Lytechinus pictus: one gene and its partner. The protein of the gene in region 2 interacts with the protein of the main gene of each other region in a pairwise test. Links are inferred from orthologs where the notes say so. Each region holds a gene or a part of one and is shown on either strand. Other genes may lie near its edges.

Region 1 (10,213 bases), on a different chromosome or scaffold from region 2:
TCCATGAACTTTTAAAGTTACATGTATGATGACAATTCCACAAATACCCCCAACATTACCAAAGTTTGTTGACTCTAAATGGCCTTCAACCTTGGTCATGTGACCTGAAACTCGCTCATGATATTTAGGGATACATGGTTGCTCTTATGTCCTAGTTTCATGAACTAGATCCATAAACTTTTAAAGTTATGATGACGATTCCTCAAATAACCCCAACATGGCCAAACTTTGACCGTAAGTGACCTTTGACCTTAATCATGTGACCTGAAACTCAGGCAGGATCTTCAGTGATACACTAATACCCTTATGTTTAAGTTTTCTGAACTAGGTCCATATTCTTTCTAAGTTATGATGACATTTTCAAAAACTTGACCTTGGTTAAGATTTCGATATTAAGTTCATTGACCCTAAATGACCTTTGACCTTAGTCATGTGACCTGAAACTCAGGCAGGATGTTCAGTAATACTTGATTGCCCTTATGTCCAAGCTTTATGAACTAGGTCCATATACTTTCTAAGTTATGATGACATTTCAAAAACTTTACCTTGATTAAGATTTCAACATTGACAATGTCGCCGCAGTCAGAAGAGCGGCGCTTGTAGTCTCGCTCTGCTATGCAGGCGAGACAAAAATAAAAGAAATCTTGCAAGTCGTACCATCTGTACTTTCCCAGATACCCCATAAGGTGCTTGAGCATTCAAGGAATTTCTTCCAACTGCGTAACCATGTGCTACACATGGGTGTAAAGTGGCAAATGTAAATAAATGCCTTGGTGAAGGACACAAGTATTGTGGTGGCACTTGAACCCTAGACCTTGTGGTTCAAAGTTCAGAGACATATCCACAGAACCACAACACTGCATTATCATCATTCTATTTGTCTTAGGTATATATATATTTTTTTCTTTAAAAATTTGCCTGTCTTCAAGGTTCCACAATATATTTTGTTTCTAAATTAGTATAAAAATAGGGTTGGCATGGTTATAAACGAGAATAACTTCTTTTTTTAATATGTGTCAGACGTCTTAGGATGCACTTTAAAGTCACCATACTTGTATTTTCAAATTGTTAGTCTATTAATTACCTTCATCTTCTCTTTCTCAACTTCTTTTGCAAGTTGATCCACTTTGTCAATGAATCCTCCTACAATATGCTGAAAGTCTCCAATTTCTGTAAGATTAAAAAGGAAAAAAAACCCAAAGTACACATGATTAACGCAATATCTTTGTTATTAATAAATTTACCATATAACCTGCTCTTTGTGAGCATATATTAAAAAAAAAATCAAATTTAGGATGAGATATATGTGAATAACTTAATTGTAACCCTGAAGCCAACACAAAATTGGCATGAAATGCTTTAGATATACAACACTTTGAGGCATTAGAGTTTAAACTGCCCCCCCCCAAAAAAAAAAAATATATAGTTGATTTGAATAAGAGAAAAATAAAACAAGCATAACACATTAAAAAAAAAGTCATATCACTTATCACATCATCACTTTAGGGTCATTGACATGTGACTTATATGTAGTTCATTATGACCTCATTGAGCGTAATTGTGATCTATGCTGTGCATCGCATTACTTTCATTGTTGTACGCGTTGTATATTTTACGCATTCGCGCATGCGCACTAGACTGTTGATGGTCTTATACTCAATGGCAAATTTTGTACACGAGCCTATGGGATATTCATCGGATTTTGGTCACTGTTAGAGATACGCTCTGATACTGCACAGGCAATTGATGCAGACCAAAATAAGCGTTTATAATGTATGGCTAAAATGCTCTATTTAGATAATAATCTCTATTATGAAACATTCTAATTTTCTCATCACTGTCATGTAAAACAAAGTTTTATTCCTCCCTGAACATGTGGAATTACCATTGGTTTAACACTTTATGGTTCAGTCAAGTTGGACATTAATGTCAAATCTGTAAAAATACAAATATTGTACAATTCAAACAATTGAAAACAAAATAGTGAAAGAGGGACACTGTTGACTGTCTGAGGTTACATTTTAGTTGTAAATAATTACTATCATACAATATGACAATAATGAAATACATGTATTTTCCCTTTTCGTTCTTTCTTTCGTTTTTATTTTTGCTTCTTGGTTTCCCTTTTCTATCTTTCTTTCTTTATTTCTTTTTTTTTCCTTCTTTCTTTTTCATTCATTTTTTTTACCTTTTTCCTTTTTTCTATTCTTTCTCTCTCTTTCTTTCATTCTTTGGTCATCATTTTTGGTATTCCTTTCTTCTTTCTTTTTTTCTGTCTTCATTTTCTTCCTTCCCTTGATCTTTTTAATTTTTTTCTTTGTTTTCTTTCTGTTATTCATTTCTTCCATTTTTTTTTTTCCTTTTGGGGGTCTTTCTTTTTTTTCTGTTCATTTGTTTGCTCTTTCCTTCTTTCATTTTATTTTTGCTTTCTGAACCTTTTATGTCTTCTTTTTTACTTTTTCGTCCTTTCTTTTTATTCTCTCTTTCTTTCTTTCTTTATTTATTTTGCTTGTTCTATAGTTAGTACTTACTCTCTTTCTCTATTTTCTTTCTTTATTTTGTGCATGTGCCAAGAAAAGTCAGTCATTGCGTCTAAAATGCCTGTTTCGTGAAATGCGCGCCCAGGATCTGACATTCTCTTGACTTGAATAAACTGCCAGTGAATTTTGATTGGTAGAATCTAATTAGCATGACTAACATTCGACAGCCGTCTGCTTCAAGAAGTTTTTAAACATTTTTAATTTTTTTTATTTCTCCTCATACACAGATGGCTCACGAACGTGCACCCGCCATTAGGGAATTTGCAATGCAAAACCCCAACTGACAGGGATCTTTGTATTCTTTGATTTTTCACTTTATTCTAAATTGAATAATTACATAAAAAGAACTAGCCTAGTTCCACTTCCCGGTAAAGTTAATTAGGCCCTATTCCGTTTTAGCCTCTAGGCCTAGTCTAAACTTAGTCAAAGAAATAAGCTTAATTTAAACAAGGGGGAAAAAAGCAGTGGCTTACTTCGATTTCGGCTGTCTACCCCTGACATGCATGAATGAGCTCTAAATTGACTAAAATAGTAAAATAAGTAACGTTAAAACTTAAAGGTTTGGCTATATACCGCGCACACACGCAGCAGGTGCAGGCGCCCGGTCCCGGAGCGCCGCGGCGGCGCCGGAGCAGGGGCAGGCACCACAGAGCTAAGTCACCAGTAGAGGCGCTGGTCCAAAAATTGGGATTGTCCCAGAAAACAAGGATATCCTTATAAACCAAGACAAATTATGTCTTGATAAATTGAGACTGTCCTTGTTTATGGGGACGTTTTTTCTTCACTTCTCCCTACGGGACAAAGGCAGCAATTAGGGGAATTGAGAGTGCTAAAAATAGATTCAGTGACCTCAATTCCCCCCACTTCACCGTTTATTTATTATGACTTGCCGTCTTCCAATAATCTTGTTATGAAACCCGATATGTTTACATTGACTAGCACTCTTGATTGGTGTCGGCACTCAACAGGTGAATGAACTTTCCTAGATTTCTTGTGTGGAGAAATCCTTATAAACTGAGACAGTCCCTGTAAACGGGGACGATCCCAATTTTCTGACCAGCGCCTCTACTGGTCACGGGCGTCGAGCTGAGCCTGAGTGGTTCCATTCGATACTTCGATTGATTAAATTAAATTTACTCACTGTCCACAAAATCTTTACATTCTTCTTTCAATTCTGTCGTCTGGCTTTGAATTTCAGGTTCCAATACTCGTATTTTGTTTAAGTCATCAAAGTGCAAACCAGCATTTGCAAGAGCTTCGTCAGCCATGGTAACTGCGACTAGTAAATGGTAGGCACTTATGATCCAAGTTTGAAAGGAGACTCGTAAAATGACGTCAGTCTCGCCGATGAATATTCATTAGATCGTGGTCGTGCGTGTTCAATACACACTGCGTGCAGGCATGCAGATAGTTATATGCGAGGAACTTTGGCTCCAGAGACAAGTTGTCAAATAACGTGTGTGTGTACCATCGGCTGGTAGTATGCCATGCTGTCTAATACCCTTTTTACACAGGATTTTCTTAGCCCCGGACTATCGCTAACCCCGTACTATCCTTAACCCCGTACTATTTTTTTTCCTTTTTACACATGCCAAATTGTTATTGCTAACCCCGGATAAGGAATGCTTGCTTTTCACACACGAAACTCGCTAACCCCGGACTAGTGGTTTTTGTCGACCATTCGTAGTACAAGTACTTCACTCGTACCTTTTTACACACGCTACAATTTCCTTAACCCCGTACTATAGGTGGGGCCAAATTGCCATTTAGCCCCACCTATAGTACGGGGTTAAGCTTAGCCCACTTTCGTTTTACACTAGCGATCTTAACCCCGTACTATCGCTCTTAGCACCGCAATTGCTGGGATAACCCTGCTTTTTTGCAGGGCCAAATAGTCCCGTACTAAAGGTGGGGTTAGCCCACTTTGCAAAAATGCTGTGTAAAAAGAAAGTGGGCTAAGCTTAACCCCGTACTATAGGTGGGGCTAAATGGCAATTTAGCCCCACCTATAGTACGGGGTTAAGGAAATTTTAGCGTGTGTAAAAAGGGTATAAGACTTCAAACGCGTCGGAGAGAGTGCATGGCAATTCGGTAAAACGAAGTTTCCGATATAAAGAGATAATAAAATAACACTGTACAGTAGGCCCGGGGGGCCACTTATATTGACGAGTGGATACCATGCACGACCAAAAAAACACGTAAAAAGGATGTCTTTTTCAAGAGAGGGCACGTTACGTACGTAACGTGATAAGGGTGTCAAAAACACAAAAATATTGAACAAAGGGTATCTATTTCCAGTACGTTGAGAGGCAAATGTCAGATCAGGGGAGGCAGGAGTACAATCAGGTTTTTTTAAAGGGAAGAATAGTGTAGAATAAAAGGTATTATATATAGCAAATTGATCTAGGTGAGGGAAGCTTAAGTGAACAATGATGTTTTTAAAAAAAAGAATGAATATACCTTACCTGAATATTATGGTGAAGCCAATTTAAAAGGAGGTGAGACAAGTTTCAATGGAGGTTTTAAAAAAGAATAAACTGTATTATGGTGAAGCCAATTTAAAAGGAGGTGAGGCAAGTTTTAATGGAGGTTTTTAAAAAGAATAAACTGTACTACAAATTATGGTGAAGCCAATTTAAAAGGAGGTGAGGCAAGTTTTAATGGAGGTTTTTAAAAAGAATAAACAGTATTATGGTGAAGCCAATTTAAAAGGATGTGAGGCAAGTTTCAATGGAGGTTTTTAAAAAGAATAAACTGTATATGGTGAAGCCAATTTAAAAGGAGGTGAGGCAAGTTTCAATGGAGGTTTTTAAAACGAATAAACTGTATTATGGTGAAGCCAATTTAAAAGGAGGTGAGGCAAGTTTCAATGGAGGTTTTTAAAAAGAATAAACTGTATTATGGTGAAGCCAATTTAAAAGGAGGTGAGGCAAGTTTCAATGGAGGTTTTTAAAACGAATAAACTGTATATATGGTGAAGCCAATTTAAAAGGAGGTGAGGCAAGTTTCAATGGAGGTTTTTAAAAAGAATAAACTGTATTATGGTGAAGCCAGTTTAAAAGGAGGTGAGGCAAGTTTCAATGGAAGTTTTTAAAAAAGAATAAACTGTACTACAAATTTAAAAGGAGCTGGCGAGGCAAGTTTCAATTGAGGTTTTTAAAAAAGAATAAACTGTACTACAAATTATGGTGAAGCCAATTCAAAAGGAGGTGAGGCAAGTTTCAATGGAGGTTTTACAAAAAGAATAAACTGTACTACAAATTATGGTGAAGCCAATTTAAAAGGAGGTGAGGCAAGTTTCAATGGAGGTTTTTAAAAAAGAATAAACTGTACTACAAATTATGGTGAAGCCAATTCAAAAGGAGGTGAGGCTAGTTTCAATGGAGGTTTAAAAAAATAAACTGTATTATGGTGAAGCCAATTTAAAAGAAGGTGAGGCAAGTTTCAATTGAGGTTTTTTTAAAGAATAAACTGTACTACAAATTTGAAAGGAGGTGAGGCAAGTTTCAATGGAGGTTTTTAAAAAGAATACATGTATTACAAGTTATGGTGAAGCCAATTTAAAAGGAGGTGATCGAGGCAAGCCTCAATGGAGGTTTTTGAAAAGAATAAACTGTATTATGGTGAAGCCAATTTAAAAGGAGGTGAGGCAAGTTTCAATGGAGGTTTTAAAAAAAATAAACTGTACTACAAATTTAAAAGGAGGTGAGGCAAGTTTCAATGGAGGTTTATAAAAAAGAATAAACTGTACTATAAATTATGGTGAAGCCAATTCAAAAGGAGGTGAGGCAAGTTTCAATGGAGGGTTTAAAAAAAGAATAAACTGTACTACAAATTATGGTGAAGCCGATTTAAAAGGAGGTGAGGCAAGTTTCAATGGAGGTTTTTAAAAAGAATAAACTGTATTACAAGTTATGGTGAAGGCAATTTAAAAGGAGGCGAGGCAAGTCCGTTTTTAAAAAGAATAAACTACTACAAATTATGGTGAAGCCAATTTAAAAGGAGGTGAGGCAAGTTTTAATGGAGATTTTTTAAAAGAATAAACTGTACTAAATTTGAAAGGAGGTGAGGCAAGTTTCAATTGAGGTTTTTAAAAAGAATAAACTGTACTACAAATTTGAAAGGAGGTGAGGCAAGTTTCAATGGAGGTTTTTAAAAAGAATAAACTGTACTACAAATTATGGTGAAGCCAATTTAAAAGGAGGTGAGGCAAGCCTCAATGGAGGTTTAAAAAAAAGAATTAACTGTACTACAAATTATGGTGAAGCCAATTTAAAAGGAGGTGAGGCAAGCCTCAATGGAGGTTTTTAAAAAGAATAAACTGTATTATGGTGAAGCCAATTTAAAAGGAGGTGAGGCAAGTTTCAATGGAGGTTTTAAAAAATAAACTGTATTATGGTGAAGCCAATTTAAAAGGAGGTGAGGCAAGTTTCAATGGAGGTTTTAAAAAAAGAATTAACTGTACTACAAATTATGGTGAAGCCAATTTAAAAGGAGGTGAGGCAAGCCTCAATGGAGGTTTTTAAAAAGAATAAACTGTATTACGGTGAAGCCAATTTAAAAGGAGGTGAGGCAAGTTTCAATGGAGGTTTTAAAAAATAAACTGTATTATGGTGAAGCCAATTTAAAAGGAGGTGAGGCAAGTTTCAATTGAGGTTTTTTAAAAGAATAAACTGTACTACAAATTTGAAAGGAGGTGAGGCAAGTTTCAATGGAGGTTTTTAAAAAGAATAAACTGTACTACAAATTTAAAAGGAGGCGAGGCAAGTTTCAATGGAGGTTTTTAAAAAATAATAAACTGTACTACAAATTATGGTGAAGCCAATTTAAAAGGAGGTGAGGCAAGTTTCAATGGAGGTTTTAAAAAAAGAATAAACTGTCGGGAGATAAAATTAGCCACACAAGCTGGAATAAGCCTCCTGCAACCATTTCAAGAAGGCAGAACATAATCTTGTATATAGTTGTTAAACAATCCATATTCACATTTTGTATGGTGAAGATTAGCTTTTTCTTGAAAGAGCTGAACTTTTAAGTAAAGGTTGCAAAACTATGCTTCTACCCCTTTTGTCATTGGTGTGATGTAGTTAAATGTTCAACTTGTAATGAACTTATTGAAACAAGGTATAACTACACAATCACAGAGTAGACCTAATACAAATCAAATATTTTTTTCACAAGAGATACTGTTATGGAGTAATTTAGTACTGTTTTACAACAATTACATTAAAGGACAAGTCCACCCCAACAAAAAGTTGATTTGAATAAAAAGAGAAAAAATCAACAAGCATAACACTGAAAATTTCATCAAAATCGGATGTAAAATAAGAAAGTTATGACATTTTTAAGTTTTGCTTAATTAAAAAAAACAGTTATATGCACATCCTGGTCTGTATGCACCTGAGGAGACTGATGACGTCATCCTCTCACTATTTCTTTTGTATTTTATTATAGGAAATATGAAATATTCTAATTTTCTCCTCAATGTCAAGTGATACAACGATTAATTCCTCCCTGAACATGTGGAATTAGCTTTGTTTAATACTATATGGTTCAGTCAAGTTGGTCCTTATTGTCAAATGTATAGAAAATGAAATATTGTATAATTCAAACAGTAAAAAACAAACGAAATAGTGAGTGATTGACATCATCGACTGACTCACCTTGTTGTGTATATCACTGTTTTGTCAAAAATAAGCGAAACTTTCAAATGTCAAAACTTTCTTATTCTACGTTTGATTTTGATGAAATTTTCAGCATTATGCAAGTTTGAATTTTCTCTATTTATTCAAGTCAGCATTTTCCTGGGGTGGACTTGACCTTTAAGCTGCCAACTGCCTTAAAGAAATACCTGTTTTACACAAATTGCATAGTCATTGAATATTTACTAGAAAAAGTCACAAACAGTGTCCCAGGGTATAAATTAATTTCATAAGAAGAAAATAAAGAATGCTTGTAAAAATACCAATCTTGCTATCACATAAAAAATAAATTGTTTATAATATGAAAGAGAAACAGCACAGCATTGATCTTCACCTGGATTTGCATAATGTGAATGGTGACGCATCATCAAAGGAGATAATGCTTTATTTATTAGATCTAGCCTTTTGACAAGGCAGCATGACTTCTTCAAGTAGTGGCTAAAATAAGGTTAGTTTGACGAAGAAGAGAAATGGCAAAACCTGCGGACACATGCGAGATCAAGCAACTTCAGTTGCGAAGCCTTATAAATTTTTGCTTTTACTGCAAGCACTATGAATTATCCATGAGCATGCCGATGCGCCGATTCACACTTTTGATGCCCGATGTCATGAGACATCAGGCAATGAAATACATGTTATATCAGACATGGAGCTTTGTCTAAAGTCTATGTTAGATCTGCTCTGATCATGGAAGCAAAAGTTGTACTGCTAGGAAGACAAATTACAAGATAAAAACAATTTTCGATGTTTATTTTACTTTTCAATAAATTTATTATATATTTCTAGAATTAATTATCTTATGTTTATTGCTTTTTGTTGCCATTCATATTCTTACTGCAAAGAAAATACAATATTTGAAACGATTATCTGTTTCTTAACTGGTCAATAAATTTCTTATATATTTCTCTAATTAATTATCTTCTGTTTATTATTTTTTGCGATTCATAGAAAACTCATAATGTAAAAAAAATATTGAAAACCATTTTCTATGTTTATTTACTGTTCCATAAATTTCTTATATATTTCTCTCGATAATTATCTTCTGTTTACTGGGTTTTTTTGGCCATTCATAGAAAACTTACTATGAAAGAGAGAGAAAAAAAATTGAAAATGATTTTTATATTCATTTACTGTTCAATAAATTTCTATATATTTGTCTAATTATCTTCTGTTTACTGAGTGTTTATTTTTTTTTGGGGGGGAGGAGGGGGTGCTGGAACCTTCTTTATAAACATGATATGATTTTTTTTTAAAATTAGTACGAGTATAAATAATGATACATTAATTTTTGGCAAGTAACAGAATCTGTATTGTGTCTGTACATGAAGTCATGCTTTTGAGCAATTTTTGGTCTTGCATGCATATGTATAGCATGCTGAAATGTTGCTAAAATCCTTTGGTCATGGCCATTTGACAATGGCAAGGAGAGCATTTATTAATGAAAACTTAGCAAATGGTCCATCCTATGTTGAAATATAATGTATCAATACATTAAACTGTTAAAGATATCAAGATATTGAATTTCCCCCAAAATGTATCCTCATGATATTGAGTGCCCCCTTATGGTCTAATATCTATTAATTTTTCTCACGAAATGAATACATTTTTAGATAAGATGGCAGAAATTTGAGATACTGGTTGAAAAATTAAAATCACTTTATTTAAAAACAATTGTGTCGCTAAGGCACGCTCATAATACGCCCCACCTGTAACACGGAAAATAGAGTAATTGGTCCAGCAAGAAATGAGAAAGGTGGTGACTTCACCTTTTACCTTCTGACCTCAAAATCAATAGATTTCCTGGGATCTATGGTAGCATAATATACGTAAAATTATATGAGCCTAGCTAGGTTAAGCTAAACTGAAGTTATTTCCTAAACAAGGACTTGAGAAGGGTAGGATGAAAACATGTCATTGTAACCTTGACCTTTTTACCTTAAAATCGTTATGCTTTCTCCATGCTAGTATCATACA
Region 2 (9,742 bases):
CGCCATGGCTACGATTTGAACCCACGACCCTCTGTTCAAAGGCAAGAGTCAGAACCACTAGACCACGAAGCACCCACAGGTACTATTGGGGAAGAAATGCAACTTACCTTCCTCTCCTCCTACAAAGCAAGCATTGCCATCCGCTAACAGACTGGAAGAACCTTTGTACAAATTTGAGCTCCATGGGGCACTCCGATCACTTTACACCATAAATTGACAAAAAAAGGAAAGAAATTGAGTGGAAATCTACATTGACAAAGTAAGACAGCAAAGATGAGAGTGATAGTGAATTGGAAGAGTTTTTTTCGAGAGATTATTGAAAGAGACACCCGAATAAAGTGACATAAAAATATCTTATTTCTAAGAATATAGAATTGTTTGTCAATTGTTTAATTTGTAAATTTTCTGGAAGCAATCCTTTATGTTTTGACCTGAATCCATACACATTATAAAAGCCATGTAGATATGACTGCATCACCTATCCTCAACTCCCAGTTAAATTCTGAGAGGATAGCAATGATTGTTCTTTTCATATCTTCTTTCAATATTGTACTACTGATTTATTCTATAGATGTATTAAAGCCAAATGTGACAGTAAACACTAATTAGTGTATGATTGTTAAATCAATAATTGAATGAATGCATAAATAGCAACATTTGCATGCTAATGGATACCAAAACAATACAAACAATTAAAGACAAGAAATATCACTGACAGTAATTACCACCCCTTACCCCCCCCCCCATCCAATGCCGTTACCATGGCAAAACAGTTTCCAATAAATAGAGAAAAAATGTGTTGCCCCTCTTTACTTCAAGACAAGTGTGCCAAATTTCATGAGCACTGGTAAAAAAGTGAGGAAGTAGTATGAAACTTGGAAAAACAAGCAGGGCCCTGGAATGAGTTTTAAATAAGAGATGCTGGGGGTATTATGAAGGGGATTGTCATCTGGAAAAAAATGACAAGAAAAAAAAAATTAAATAAAGGTAATTGCTCCCAAACATGTCATTTTGAGAGGTTTTTTTTTTGTTGTTGGCTTGTCAACCTGATTCCTAGGGGGGTGCTGCCTATGGTTATTACATATGCAGCACCCCATGAAAAATCTTGGGCGTGCTATAGCACCCCCAGCATCCCCGCTTTCCAGGGCCATGACCTCAAAATTTTTAACAAATTTTTGCCCTAAATATAAAAATCATCAACACATGCAAAAATGTGCCTTAAGACCAATGTTTATGCAAAATTTTGTATTAGAAATATGTTAAAAAGTGAGAAAGTAAGTTGATCCACAACATTTGCAATGGACAAACCTGCCAATAACCTGATGAATAGTAAGGGCAACAATGCCTTAATTTAATCTGCACACAGCTCATTAAATATAGAGTACATCCCAGAAAAAACGAAACCAAGATTTATCAATGATTTTCCATAACTTAATCACAAATACAATAGACAAATGTAAAGCTGAGTGTCTCCTCTTTCATTTGAAATAACTTAGATTATTTATCATTCATGCATGAGTGAGCAAAATCAATTTGAAGAAAGGAAACCAAAAAGTCACTTGGCGGGCTGTATCTGAGTTTCAAAAAGAAACTCACATTTTTAAAAATTTCAATATCTGCTCTTAAATTTGATACCTCAGTTACAGAAAACGGTCAAGAAATAACAAAGTTCTGTTTATTTGAAATAAGGCTTGAATTCCAATAATTTCAAAAAATGAAGAGGTTTTACTGGATAGCTTTCAGACTTACTCGACACTCCGTTTTGTTGACGATCAGCCATGCATAAAGTCTTTTGTTAACCGTGCGATAGCTTAGGTGAGAAACCGGTGAAAACATGTATGTTTCATGAAATTATGGAAATACAAGCATTGTTTTGAAGAAGCATAGCTTTGTTATTTCTTGACCATTTTCTGCGATTTAGCTATCAAATTAAAGAGCAAATATTGAACTTCTTAGGCATGTGATTTTCTTTTTGAAATTTTGATATCTCCCGCCAAATGACTTTTTGCTATCCTTTCTTCAAATTGTTTTTATTCACTCATGCGAGGATGAGAAATCTTGTATGTTATACCAGCTGAGAGAAGAGATTCTAAGCTTTACAATGATAGGTCATTTGTCTACTGTATTTGTGATTAAGTTATGATAAATCATTCGTAAACCTCGGTTTCGTTTTTTGTGGGACGCACTGTATACTGAACATTTCTAGTCAGGAATAACACTTGAATGACAGAAACCAGGATCTGGGGTGATTGCACCCCTTTCAAACTTCATTTGGCGAAGGTAAAAAGGATAGTTGCTCTTACTCATCCTGTTTTGGTCCACCATAGGGAAATAAACATTGAGTTGGCGTCTGTTGAGATGGTAATTGACTGATGGGATTACTAGTCAGATGACCTTTTCCGTCACTCTTCCACATGATCAATGTTCCTTCCTATAATCAATGTTAATCAAGAAAGCGAGAATTAGTAATCTCCTTCGATATTCCTGATTATTGCATAACAGACCTACATTAAGTGATATGATATATAAGCAAAGTGTAAAAGACCCGGTTATCAATAACAAGGGCAAGAATGCTATGATATAGATTTTTTTTGTCAAATTAGATACATTCAGTAGCTTATAACAGAATGTTAAATCTTCTTGTGGAGTCAAGCAAGGAATAAGTTTTGTTGACCAAGAAAATTTGTCGTAGTTCCATAGAAGTTAAAAGACAATTTGTATTGTTATGCCATTTTGTTATTAGTATTTATGTATGTCCTGTTTAGGCTATTCTATGTACCCAGATATGTCCTGGTCGTAATTCCTCCCACGTTTGTACTCATTCCTTTGTTTTGAACAATTTGAATGTTAAATAAAGTGATGAATCACTACATACCTATAAAGATACATCCCTTGTGCACATACATGTCATGCATCAAGTTGCAGCTTTATGCATAGAACTCCAAACTCATGCATGTGCATTTGATATCATATCAGAGAGATATAAAAGCTCAGATTAATACAGGGTTTATTTTAACAAGAAACTGATAGATCCATAAGAATCCAGGAGGGGGGTTCATGAAGAGCTTTGCAAATTATTTTTTACTGACTAATTTGTTCTCAACCAATCAGATGCAATTATTTCTGTAGCTTATATCATGTCAGTGAATGAAGAAACAAAACTCTTCATAAAACACTTGCCAAGTCTGACCTTATCTCCTGATAATAAACGTTGACCCTTGACACTCCATTGAAGCAAGCAGACCTGAGCCTTGTGAAGTTTGGTGGCTTCCTGAAGCTGCTGATCTTGCTCATTCCAGATTAGAATCTCTCCACTCTCCCATCCTACAGCCACTGAAGGATGGGTAGGATGCCAGGCCAATGAGGTGGAGTAGCAAGAACGTTGAAGATTAGCTGCTGGAAGGGCTTGACCCTAATTAACAATACACATAAATCAATCTTCCTTTATTCAGAGGAAGGGCAAATAAACAATGACAGGCAGTGATAAAGATAATTCATAGAATTATTATTCATGAGTGATTTTTGAAGGTTTATGAACTCATTTGTCGCACACACGGATATATTCCGTTTCATAAGCGATTATTTTATTTTGATATCGACAAGGGAAAGAAATTGAAATGTTTTCATTTACATCATCCACTATAAAGATTAAACCACACCAAAAATATCAACACAGAACTTGAATTCACAGTATTTTCTTTCATTAAAAATATTGTTCCTTTAAGATGAATAGCAATCACTTTACGTAGATAGAAAATAAATAACATGAAGATGGGTCATGAAAAATGTAAATCTTTCTCGAGAGAAAAAAAACCTTTTCCTTACCTCTTCATTGAAAATGTTGATGACACCTCCGCCTTGCTGGCCTCTCATTGCAATAGCAAGTAAAGGTTGTTCATTATGCCATGATATATCTACATGGCTAGTTGAGCCTGACTGAACTCGATGATCAAAGAAAATAGCCATCTTGGATACAACAAGCTTGTTCTTTCAAAATGATGTGGTTTCCATACAAATTATAGGTCCGTCCTCGGACCTAAGAGGTAAATGAGCAATATGATTCTGTAGAAAAAAAAATGGGAAAGGATAATCTTTCTTCATTTTTGCAAAGTGAAAAAGGCTATATTGTTCATTCTTTAATTTTCTAATCTTAGGACAGTCAATTGAATTAGAGTAAGTGAAGTTACTAGAGGTATCTGTATTTTGCTTTGAAATTGTTGAACCTCCATTTGAAGAAACTATCTTCTCCCTTTATTATAGTTTTCAGAATTAAGACAACAAATAATGTTCAGCAATATTATGTGAAAACAGTAACATGCAGGTCATCATAAATATTCATTAGGTGGAGAATAGCCCCGGTCCGACGGTCCCAGACCGGTAAAAATCACTGTCGGGCCAGTAGATTTTCAGAAATAGCAAGATTTACTGGTCCGACATGACCAGTAAAAAAATATCATTGTCGGGCCAGTAATTATTCCTAAAATAGCAAGATTTATGGGTCCGACATAAACAGTAACAAAAACCATTGATGGGCCAGTAACTTTTCCAGAAATGGTCAAATTCACTAGTCCAACATAAACATTAAAAATATTCCATGACTCAAATTGCAAATCATCTTCCTCCAGTTAATTTCTGTCATTCACACACAGAATACACACAGAATGAATTGTATGCAATTTTTACTAGGGTAACATACAGTGTACATATGGCTAGCCAGCCACACAGCCACATGGTAAATTTTCTACTATACTGGCTGCACGAACGAAGCTTGGCTAACCTCTGGCAAAAATCTCTCACAGAACTGTCAAAATTCACATTTCACACTAACATGACTACTGAAAAGCTCTTGTAATGTCCATATTTCCTAAAAATTGGGGTAACTCTGTCATTTGTAAGCAGTAAAAGGAGAAATTTTCACTTCTGTTTTAGTTCAAAGAGATCGGGTTTCGAGTGATATCATCTGAATACATGATAGCCCCACAAATGCTTTTGTGTGTGTGTTGATACACTTGGGTTCTTTCGTAGCTATACATCTTAATTGAGCCAAAAAGAAACTGATAATTTATTTATAATGATAGTTTTAGCTTTCTTCCTCTGTTTTCTTTCTATCTTTCTTTCCTTCTTTCTTTTCAATCTTTCTTTGTTTCTTCCCTCTCTTCTTTCATTTTTTATTTCTTTCTTTCTTTAATTCTTGAGTTCATCCATCCTATATTTATCTCTTTCTTTCTTCCTTTCCTTCCTTCTTTTTACCCTTTCTTTCCTTCATTCTTTGTCACTTTCTTTCTTTGTTTCTTTCTTCACTCCATCCATCCTTTCTTTACCCTTTTTTATTTCTTCCTTCTTTCAGCCCTTTCTTTCATTCATTCCTTCCTTTCTTTATACTGTTTTTTGTTCTTTTTTCCCCTTCGTTCCAACTATCCTTTTACCTTTTTTTTTTTTTTTTTTTTTTACTGCTTGCTTCCTTTCCATTCTTCTTTCGTTCTTTCCTTCATTCCTTCCTTTCTTTGTCTTGGCCTCTTTTTTTCTTCCTTTCATCTATTCTTTTATATTTTCTTTCTTTTATATATTGCTTGACTGCTTCCTTCCTTCTTTATTTCTTTCCTTCATTCTTTTTTCCTTCTATCTATCATTTTACCTTTTTTTTTTTCTTCCTTTCTTCTTTCTTTCTTCCTTCTTTCCATCTCTCCTTTTAGCCTTTCTTTTTTATTGCTTCTTTCCTTCTTTCTTTCCTTCATTACTTTCTGTCTTTTGTTCTTTTTCTATATTGCTTGCTTCATTTCTTTCCTTCTTTCTTTCTTTCCTTCATTTCTTTATTCATTTATTTTCTTTTGTTCTTTCTTTCTTATTTTGGTTCTTTCTTTCCTTCCTTCCTTTCCTTCTTTAGTTCTTTCCTTTTTTCCTTCCTTCACATCTATCCTTTCTTTACCTTTTTCTTCCTTCCTTCCTTTTATTCATTCTTTCTTTCTTTATTCCTTCTTTCCATCTCTCCTTTTACTCTCTCTCTTTCTTTTTTATTGCTTCCTTCTTTCCTTTTTTCATTAATTTCTGTCTTTTGTTTTTCTTTCTTTCTTGCTTACTTCATTTCTTTCCTTCTTTTTTTCTTTCTTTCCTTCTTTCTTTCTTTCTTTCTTTCTTTCTTTCCTTCCTTTTTTTTCTTTTGTTTTTTTCTTTCTATTTTTTGTTCTTTCTTTCCTTCCTTCCTTCCTTTCCTTCTTTCTTTCATTAGTTCTTTCTTTTTTTCCTTCCTTCACATCTATCCTTTCTTTACCTTTTCTTTTTTTCTTCCTTCCTTTCTTTTATTCTTTCTTCCTTTGTTTCTTTCTTTTTGTCTTGCTTTCTTTTTGTCTTTCAGTCCTTCATTTTTTTTTTTTTGGGGGGGGGGGTAACAAAAAAGGAAAGCAAAATAAACCAACGCCTTTTTTTTAATGTTTTCTTTATTTTTTGGGACCAGTAGATTTTAGGTTCGGACCAGTAAAAAATGGAAAAACTGGGTATCTACTGGTCCGACATGAATAGGTTGGACCAGTAGAAAAAAAGAGTTAGTGTGGAGCCCACTATTAGCGCCACCAACAACCTTCCTTTTATTTCCGTCGAAGAGACATGCGGAGCAACTTTCCAGGCCGAGGTAAGCGATTTTGCTCTTTTTTACATGATTTTTACATTAATAAAATTTGTAAAATTGAAAATGGAACGCTTTTCACCAGAAAAAGTCCTGGTGAGTAGCGGAATGAGTTTCGACTAACATTATTCGCGTTATAAAGCGATGGTAACCGACAACTCTAAAGTCCATACTGTAAACACGTATGGTGAGACCACTACATATCGACCACCTCTTTTGAAACCGACCACCTTGCGCGCATCAAAATTATTGCTCATTACAAACGATACGCGCAGGAGAGTAGGCGCAGTGTCCATAGGAACGGTAAGAATTGATTTTTACAAGAGAAAAAGAAGGGGAAAAGGGTAAAAGGGTAAAAATTTAGTAGAATTTATCAAAATTGTATGACTAGACCCGAACCCGCCCCGTTTCCGATAGGAAACGGCTTTAGAACAAATATCCGTCATCAATCGTCGAATCATGTGCCAGAGCTCGCAGTGGATGGAAGTAGTGAGACAATGATTTAGCATGTTGACATCATAGAACTGATTTGAAAGAGTAAAAATATTTCACCACCGCGACAAGAATCGGCCGTAAACTTAGTGTATTGCAGGTGGTCGGTTTCAAAAGAAGGGTGCAAATGAGCAAATGTAAAACCGTCGTATTCGTTGTTCGCCGATATATACGCGAATTGAATCGGAGTTGCCGATCGAAACATGGGAATCTGATCTGCTCAATTTTCTGCACAAATGAGACGAAAACTAGGTAAAACTGATGAGTGATAAATATTTTCGCAGATATGATGCTTAGAAAATTAGGTGGTTGATAAGGGGTAGTTCCAACCATACGTGGTGCGAGGTTTGTATAGTATAGCATACTAACCTCGCAATACGTGTGAGTGAGTGGTTTTGGCCCATGACCTAGACCAAAAGCTTCAGTCTCTGTATTTTGGTTGTTCCGCTGAACTGCGTTGGCTCCACTCACCATACATAGACTGAAGAGGAGGGGGGCCCCTACCTACAGCCAACGTATAGTGAACTAGCGTTTTATAGATCGCGATTTAAAACTGTTTTTTAGGCAAAATTGACATTTTCATGGTTTCCATTATCAGGGTAATATAAATAACTTAAGTAATTGCATACCTTGGGCCGGAGTTATTGAAAAAAATCCTCTGGATGATTGAGAAATCTGTCATCTAAGACATTTTCACCTGACCTGACGGTTTTTCTTGCAAGTTGCCATCTTGAATGACGTCATTATCGTTATTAACTTTTTCATGTCTCGATTTATCGCGATTATAACTAGTATCGTTTATCTTCGTGTAGTGTATCGTATCGTATTAGATCAATTAGATTTAGGAGGTGCCGTGGCCGAGTGGTCTAAGGCGCCTGGCTATACATGAAAAAGTCCGGGGTACGATCCCCGGCCGCGGCACCTATGCCCGTCAGCAAAGCATTTAATCTTCAATGCTCTTTTATCCTGCTTTCAAATAAATGTAAATGCTATATGCATTATTGGTAACTAGGTGTGCACTTGTTTAAAAAAAAAAAAAAAAAAAAAAAAAAAAAAAAAAAAAAGATTGATTGACGATATGATTTACTACACACAACAAAATAATGCACCTGGTTTCTTAATGGCAATAGATTTTGAAAAAGCGTTTGATTCGGTCTCGCACATCTTTTTGCAAAACGTTTTACGTTCTTTTGGCTTCGGGTCCTCATTTTGCAGCTGGATCAAAACATTATACAAAAATGCCCTGAGTTGCGTATTTAATGGGGGTATATCGACAGGATACTTTAGTGTTGAAAGAGGTGTGAGACATGGGGATCCCCTCTCTCCTTATTTGTTTATACTTTGTATCGAGGTCCTTTCTAATACCATTCGTAAAGATAAATCCATCCACGGAATCAGCTTTGGTAATGTAGAAGTCAAACAAGCGCTCTATGCGGATGATATGACACTTTTTGTGAGGGACTCCCAATCTATTGATAGAATCGGAAAAATATTTGGAGATTTTGCTAAGATTTCAGGCTTAAAAATGAATAAAGAAAACACATTTATATTAGCGTTGGGTCCTCTTTCTACAAAAGATATTAAAGTTCCATTTGGTAAATTAGTTGAAACTATCAAAATATTAGGAATAACTTTATCATTAGATGTAGAAATTCAGGAAAATGTTAATTACAAATAGATTCTAAGTAAAATAAAAAAAATTATTTATATGGTGGAAGCAAAGAGACTTTCTGAAAATGGGTTTAGATGGAAATGAAATAGATAAAGTTTATAAAGTTTTTGAAAATATTCCAGCAACATGGAAACACCTATTGAAGAAAAAAGACAATTGTGAAGACACTGGTCTAAATCTAGAATTTATATTTAATGGTAAGATTAACAGTTTACCAAACGTGACATCTAATAAAATATACAAGGCACTTTTAAGTATTAAATTAGAAAAATCGTATGCGTTTGATAATATAAGACATATAATTTCTCCGAAAAAGATATATGTGCTATATTTTCAAGACCCAGAAAATGTACTCTAAGCAGTATAGGCTTAGAGAGTTTCAATTTAAAATGCTTTATGAGTTAATATACACGAAGAAATATTTACATTTATTCAAAATTTTCTCAGATAGTGAATGTTCATTTTGTGGGAATACTGAAGAAACTTACGAGCATCTGTTTTTCTCATGTGAAAAGACGAGAGACTTATGGATAGATTGCGGTAACTTATTCAATATGTATGAAATAAAAAATGCCAGGTGGGTGGATATACACATTGGTGTTAAGCATGCTAATATAGGGAAGGAACAAATAATTAATCACATTATTCTTTTAATAAAATATCTGATCTTTGTTTACAGCAGGACTAAAAAGACCACCAAGTCCCAACGAAATTAGAGAGAAGATATTAGAAAATGAACGTGAAGAGAAAATTTTAGCAGTAACAAGGGGTAAATTATCAAACCATATAAGGAAATGGGAACATTTCCTTACAAGAGTATAGAGGCGACAGAGCTCACGAGATTATGTTCGTTCATTATGGTGTTTTCTTATTTCAGACGGAACGCGGCATCATATGCAAGGGTGTACGAAAAATGTTTGAGGGTGTGAAGTGTGGGGGTTTGTGGAGGGAAGGGGGGG

Evidence for each region.
Region 1: the proteins of intraflagellar transport protein 140 homolog (region 2) and intraflagellar transport protein 20 homolog interact in a protein complementation assay, tested with the Caenorhabditis elegans proteins (2 studies listed by BioGRID). The link is inferred for Lytechinus pictus from reciprocal best matches to the Caenorhabditis elegans genes che-11 and ift-20.

Annotation. Positions count from the first base shown.
Region 1 is NC_087246.1:4,616,430-4,626,642, forward strand, and holds the start of intraflagellar transport protein 20 homolog, read right to left. Parts: upstream 4,265-10,213; 5' UTR 3,809-4,264; coding exon 3,682-3,808; intron 1,171-3,681; coding exon 1,085-1,170; intron 1-1,084. UniProt on the Caenorhabditis elegans protein: Component of the intraflagellar transport (IFT) complex B required for transport of proteins in the motile cilium. Required for ciliary entrance and transport of specific ciliary cargo proteins such as che-3 which are related to motility.
Region 2 is NC_087254.1:17,771,030-17,780,771, reverse strand, and holds the start of intraflagellar transport protein 140 homolog, read right to left. Parts: upstream 4,061-9,742; 5' UTR 3,967-4,060; coding exon 3,826-3,966; intron 3,413-3,825; coding exon 3,191-3,412; intron 2,432-3,190; coding exon 2,304-2,431; intron 200-2,303; coding exon 108-199; intron 1-107.